2 linked regions of the Daphnia pulex genome follow. The protein of the gene in region 1 binds, or shares a complex with, the protein of each later gene. Links are inferred from orthologs where the notes say so. Each region holds a gene or a part of one and is shown on either strand. Other genes may lie near its edges.

Evidence for each region.
Region 2: exosome complex component RRP4-like (region 1) and exosome complex component CSL4-like share a complex: the UniProt entries of both Caenorhabditis elegans proteins name them as parts of the RNA exosome complex. The link is inferred for Daphnia pulex from reciprocal best matches to the Caenorhabditis elegans genes exos-2 and exos-1.

What each region holds. Positions count from the first base shown.
Region 1 is NC_060023.1:8,701,086-8,704,635, reverse strand, and holds exosome complex component RRP4-like, read left to right. Parts: upstream 1-1,394; 5' UTR 1,395-1,508; coding exon 1,509-1,627; intron 1,628-1,687; coding exon 1,688-1,925; intron 1,926-1,985; coding exon 1,986-2,120; intron 2,121-2,178; coding exon 2,179-2,349; intron 2,350-2,414; coding exon 2,415-2,549; intron 2,550-2,611; coding exon 2,612-2,692; 3' UTR 2,693-2,725; downstream 2,726-3,550. Other genes in the region: CDP-diacylglycerol--glycerol-3-phosphate 3-phosphatidyltransferase, mitochondrial-like, read right to left, coding at 1-828, 893-1,156; uncharacterized protein LOC124197887, read right to left, coding at 3,322-3,491. UniProt on the Caenorhabditis elegans protein: Non-catalytic component of the RNA exosome complex which has 3'->5' exoribonuclease activity and participates in a multitude of cellular RNA processing and degradation events. Involved in regulation of antisense ribosomal siRNA production.
Region 2 is NC_060026.1:7,115,932-7,119,256, forward strand, and holds exosome complex component CSL4-like, read right to left. Parts: upstream 1,695-3,325; 5' UTR 1,676-1,694; coding exon 1,540-1,675; intron 1,480-1,539; coding exon 1,361-1,479; intron 1,266-1,360; coding exon 1,196-1,265; intron 1,140-1,195; coding exon 961-1,139; intron 878-960; coding exon 671-877; 3' UTR 642-670; downstream 1-641. Other genes in the region: protein SERAC1-like, read right to left, coding at 41-366, 440-507. UniProt on the Caenorhabditis elegans protein: Non-catalytic component of the RNA exosome complex which has 3'->5' exoribonuclease activity and participates in a multitude of cellular RNA processing and degradation events. Involved in regulation of antisense ribosomal siRNA production.

The sequences.
Region 1 (3,550 bases):
GAAGTACCCGGTTGCTAGACATAATTCGGCGTTTGCCGGTACGTTTTCTAGAATCTCGCGCGTCAAGATGTTATCCATGTAAATGTTTAGCTGCCCCATCTGGACGAAAGGGAAGATCCAGGTGTCGTAAGCAGACGGATTCGGCCATTGAAATATCGAGGACGAAACATTTGCTTTTATTTGCTTTTCAAACAAGTTGTTGATTCTCCGTTTTGCTTCTTCTGTAAATTCAAGCCGATTGGATTCAAACGGATGGTGAGGAAAAGCGGAATTCAAGTTAAGGCAGTTGTTTTCACTTAAATGAAATGAAAACTGGCACACAGTTTCTACTAGTTGGTCAAAGAAATCCACTAAATCTTTGCAATCTTCCATAATTATGTATCGATCTTGCCGATTTGTGAAGTAATCGTGGCTTAAATTTGCGCCACTGATTAATAAGGAATCGTCAAATATGTAAATCTTCATATGTTGCAAGCCAATAATTTCATTCCATCTTTCTGGGAGAATTTTCTTTAATAATCCTCTAAGTGCTGGAGTGTGATAAAAATGGACTGAACACTGCTGGCTGTAGGACTGAACTAAGGGAAGCAGCATTGTACGGGAATTGAATTGGGCACCTCTAGAGCCTCTTGTTGCATCCAACAGAATTCGAACTTTCAGGCTGGAGCCAGAGTTTTTCTTCAAAGTACTTTCAATTGTTTTTACAAGCTCATTTTCATGATTTCCTGTTCCAAGATATAAGGATGCAAAAGTGACTCTTTGACTTGCTTGACTAGTCTTTTCAATAAGTGTTTTGTAGAAATCTTCAGGATCAGACAAAACTCGAACCTAAGAAAAAATTTTACAACTATTACTAGAAGACACTAATAAAATACCTTATTAGAACACTAACCTTATTTCCGTTCACAGGGAAACAAGGGGTTTTACTTCCGAGCCATCTGAAATTTTCAAGGGTCGTTAACAGTTCCGTTCTCTGCTGTTCATCACTGTCGGGTTCCATTTCGGGACGATGCTGGAGATGAAGTGATCTCGAGACAAGGTTACGTTGCCAACCTCTGCGAGCAGTCTTGGGAAGGAAGTGCCAAGATACTCGTTGTCGCCCAGCAACGCATATCGTTGTTGAAAAAAGTATTGCTTTTTGGCAAATTAGTGACATTTACTTGTACGGACGAATGAAATGAATCGGCATATAAACAAACAGACATCTGATGGCAAAAATTAATACTAATGTGATTCGCGCAATGTTTTATTTGATTCGTTAAAAAAATTTCAGTTGACTTTATATTTTCCATTTCGAACATAAGTTAATTAGTCGATTTAAATTGCACAATATCATTTTGACAAGAATATCCACAAATATTTATATTCTTAAATATTTTGATATCGCCATAGCTTAGGCAACGTAGCAGCATGGTATAGCAGAACACGATGAATTATTGTCATTTTCAAGTGTGCTGTTGTTTCCTTTTTTTTGAACTTGATACATTAGGATAATTAAAACCAAAAGAATGGTAGACATTCGCCTTGCTTCTGAAGTGCCTCCTTTTCATATCGTCGCTGATTCTACTGAACCCAAACATCTTGTCACACCTGGCTCTTTGATCACAAAGGAAACAGGATTCATGAGGTAGATTGTTAAAAGTTTTGCCATTTTCTTGATGATAATCTTATTTTATGTTTTGCTAAGGGGTCATGGAACATACATGCAAGATGACTGTTTGTACTCCAGTGTTGCTGGAGTTGTGGAGAGAGTCAACCAACTTATTTCAGTTAGACCCTTGAAATCTCGTTATCATGGGGAGATTGGAGATGTCGTAATTGGTAGGGTTACTGAGGTTTCACAGAAACGTTGGAAACTGGACACCAATGCAAGATTAGATTCAGTGCTTCTTCTTCAGTCAGTCAATTTGCCTGGTGGTGAACTCGTAAGAAAGACTTTTTATTTGTGCAATTACACAAATATTTATATCTCATAATGCTTTTAGAGAAGAAGATCAGCAGAAGATGAATTAGCCATGAGGCAATACCTGAAAGAAGGAGATTTGGTCAGTGCAGAGGTTCAAAACATCTTCAATGATGGAGCTCTTTCTTTACACACCCGCAGCATGAAATATGGAAAAGTATAACAATAAGTTATTTAAAATATTAACTGTAATAACAACCATTTATCTGTTATAGCTTTCCCAAGGTTGCCTAATAAAAGTTAGTCCATCTTTGATCCGAAGACAGAAGACTCATTTCCACAACTTGCCTTGCGGAGCAAGTATCATTATGGGTAACAATGGATTTGTTTGGATCTGCCCTACGCTCCTTGACGATGGCGCCGGTGGATTTGTTCAAAACTTGGAGGTGCGTACTAAAAAGTCGATGTTTGTACATTATCACGTGGAAGCTAATTCTGTTGAAACCTATAGACAGTTCCGCATGCCGATCGACAAGCTATAAGCCGGTTAAGGAATTGTGTGACAGCTTTGGCGCACTGCAAGATGATGATCTATGATACCAGCATTATGCATGCCTACGAAGCCTCCGTAAATGCTGGGCTTGAGGTAATTATTTTTACATTGAAACTAAATAATTCAATGCTAACTTATATAATGCTTTTATGTAGATCAAGGATCTTCTCCTACCGGACAAGATAAAAGAAATCGCTTTAATGGTTCGTAAGCAGTTCGAAATGGAAAAAGAATAATTTAATTTTCGAATAAACATGGCTCAGGCTGAACCAGAAGTTGACATTCGATTTCCCAAACATTAATGGTGTGGATCAGTTTATTCATACTGCAGACAAAGTTTTATTCTGGGGCAGGGAAAAACATAAACGAAGAAACATTCGATAATAAAGGCGGTTTTTTTTTGTTTCCAACTACAACCGGTTTCCCAAGAATATTAAAATTTTGTAGACTTCATTTATAAGTCATCCCCCCCACAAATCATATTTACATTAAAACAAGTGTGCTAGAGAAAACCAGGATAAGATCTGCCGTAAGCACCACTCAACAAAATGCCCTGGGCTAGTTTTGAAACACCTAAAAAGATTATATAGGATAATAAATTACTAATGGACCCCGTTCCCTAGGTCCACCAAGGAAGGAAAAAAAAAAGATTTAACCGGAAGTCATGTTAAAGCGCTGCTTTAACAAATCAAGCAAATAATAATTAACAAAAAAAAAAAATAATGATAAATAGAAACAATGAATATCTAGCGAAATTCCGTGACGACGAATGGATAACGATTATGTTTAGGAGGGCTTCACGATTGGAAAATGTCCCGTGTTTTTAGATATTAGGATTCCACCTTGATTAGATGGGTTTGTAATCTTAGACGCTCTTGTCGGGTCCCAACCAGCGGCGCATGAGGAAGTAGAACACGGTGCAGATGTACAGTAATAAGAGAAGAGCGCATGTGACGGCCAACGCCAGGACGGACGTCTTTGTTGGGCAAGTGCTGTTGAATACGGTCACCGTCTCTTCATGGACTGTGTAAGTACCTACATTTTTTAAATCAATTAGAATTTCATTCCTATCGTGACCGATTCAAATTTCCCGC
Region 2 (3,325 bases), on another chromosome or scaffold:
AACCATAACCATAATCTGTAAATAATATATTTGAAGATACCATTATAATGTGAAGTAGCCAATGTTTTTAAAGCAGTGGAGTGTTCTTGAGTATGAGAAGGGAGTTCTGATTTAAGAATTCGAAGAAGATGCCAGGGATTTGAATCAAGACCAAGATGTGTTGGTCCCTTCATAAGAGTCTCCACCATTTGTTCAACATTTTTCAGTTTAGAGGTCATAGCATGAATCTCAGTTTCAATTACAGTTTGAGGAATAGCAATATAGCACCCAGCCTTTTGACGTTCTCTCTCAACTGCGGCATCTGACAATAAAGATGAAAACCGGCGGTTTAAAGAATGAATTTGGTATGCCAGAGTAGTTCCTCCTCTTCATAAAAAAGAAAAGATACATTGTAGTTTTCTATATGCTGATTACAAGAACTCGCTAGGAATTGAAATACCCAATTATAAAAATGACAGCTAGAGATTTCGGCAAATTTTTCCATTTCACTTGGCGATGTTTCCTCATTTTATTTACATGCTTGAAAAAACTATAAGAATATAAATTATGATTAGAAAAAAGGAACTTGGAGAAAATGAAATGAATTGAACAGAAACGCAAGCAGTCGACAAAACACCAATAAAATAAAATCCGAAAAGCTTTGTTGTCAAATTTCATGTATTAATATAATCTAGACGCCTGTTGCATTTTCGTTTGAAATTGTTTCTGGCGAAACTTTTGCAACTTTTCTCAATTCTTTAACATAAGTTTTTGGGCACTGCATTTCTTGCCATCCTACTGGAACCATAGGAGTACCTTCTTCACTGTATGCTATAACAACACCCAATTCATTTTCTGCTGTTGACAAAACATAGGAATGTGCATCACCTAATGAGAGCTAACAGCAACATGAAAAAAAATTTCATCTTAGAAGTCATACTCACTTTACAGTTGAAATAATGATCAAAATCAAATAATTACCACTCTTGCTAAAATAATGTCATTGGGACGAAAACATTTGTACATTTCAACCCTGTCCTTTTCTGTAGCACGCACATCTTCTTTCCTCAGCTGTCCTCTAAAGGGTTCTGCCAATACAATGTCCTTAACACACAAAATGGCACATCGTGCCCAGCGAGGATTTATTTGTGTTACTCTGGCTATTTAAAGGTTTAAGATGAAATTCACAAAATTCAACACATAATTTAAACAGTACCTGTAACCACATCACCAGCAGATGGAACAACTGTCTGTTCTTTACCACTTCTAACCTCTATCAGGATTCTCTAGGAAGAAAAGTTTGAACATAATATTCGGAAGTTCATTATTTCACACCAAATGAATTGTTTCACTGATCTAATTTCACTGTTTAACCACTAACCTTATCAGGTTGTGAAGTTACTTTAACAACACCTGCTAAACATGATGTGATATAACCTTGTCTTGTGTAAGTTCCGGCTCCTCCAATATATTGGTTATCCGACAGACATATGCGTTGTCCTGAAAAATGCAAACATTTTATCAAAATGACAACTAAAAAAATATGTTTTTTAATATTACCGGGAGTGCATATTACACATTTGTCTGATTCTTTATTCGTCATTTTTTTCGCACACCAGAACAACTTCGAAGTTAGAAAAAAACGTCGACTGCTGGGCGGCTCACGGGTGGGGTTCGTTAAGTGTGCACACAGCATGAACTACTCTAATTAAGGACGGTATATTCTTCGGCGTTTCCTATGTCGGCCATGTAAATTTTTTTGTGGGAGAATCAGAATCAGAATTTAAAAATTATCATAGAATTACCATATGTTCCTATAGGGCTCTTCGGGATCTGTTTTATTTAGCCGATTTATCTGGCAACGCAGCATGGTTCGAGACTTTTTTAGGGCTAGAACGGGGAGAAGAGGGAGGATGGGAGGAATGGGAGGGAGGAGGGTGTCCTCCCATTCTCCCTCTTCTCCCCGTTCTCGCCCTAAAAAAGTCTCGAACCATGCTGCGTTGCCAGATAAATCGGCTAAATAAAACAGATCCCGAAGAGCCCTATACCTAACATTTATTTTTATAGAGATATTTCCAATTCCTTAACGAAAAATTTGAAATAGGGCAAAACACCAGTGCCATCTAGGAACCAAACCTCCTAAGCTCTTGTTAGTTTGCAAGCAGATGCCCATGCATGCATACCGAGAGAAAGAAAAAACCACTCTCTTATCTAGTCCTCTGACATAGCTGCCTAACTATATTTTACCTTGTAGCGTATATTCTTAAGAGCTTAGGGTGTTTGGTTGCTAGATGGCACCGGTGTTTTATCCTTTTACCCCTACTTCTGAAAGTAAATTTATAATATCTTAATGATTAGTTTATTTCACTAAGATTTATATCTATAGTTGGAATCAGCAAAAAAAACTGAATTTAATGATATTTTTTATTAATGTTTTCATGAAAATACCCCACCCGACTAGCTTTAACAAGGCAGGATAGGCGAAGAATCCCGTCCTTAATTAGAGTAGTCCATGCACACAGTCAATCTCCCAATAGACGTTGCCAAAAGTCACGTGATGCCACATTTTACCCAATAAGATGATGCCTTGAGTACTCTCGACCATGCCTACTCTCGACATGGTACGGAAAGTGTGTTTAACAAAGCCAGGGGTATGGAAAGACCCCCATACCTTTCTCTCCATACCCCTGACAAAGCTGCCATGTCCCAGCAAATTGCGTGAAATCTATTGCCATGCCGGTCCGACAGGGCAATAGCCATAGAGAGCTATTGCCCTGTCAGTGCTAAAACCGCCACCTGGCGACGGCTATTGGTAGCCTTTCTGAACCAAGAACAATCTTAATGGTAAAACTTTTAGGTTTGGTTTGGGTTTTTAAAATAAGATGCATAGGGTAAAATTACAAACAAATTTTATGACAAAAATTTTATTTTTTCGAAAAACACATGTCACGATATGATGTCAGCTACCTGCGTTATTAGCAAGGTATCCGAAGGGATGTTTATGATTTTTTTTTCATAAAAATCAATCAAATAGCATATGAGAAAGATGAACTTCAAAAGAAAAAAAATTGTAGCGTTTTTGAATCCATATGAATACTATGTAGAATTAACGACTAGGAAAGTTATAATTTAATATGGAACGTTTAATATTGTAAAGTTATCCCAGAAAATTTTTCATTTAATTTGTTTTCTTATGATTATAAACCTTAATCTGGAATAAGTTAACACGAAAATAATTTCTCGTTTTTTTTTATTTTACTATGTTTGGATCCAACAAAACTAGAGTTAAATTAAAGTAAGCTATTGTATATTAATTATGGATATTTTATAAAATTTCGTATCATTA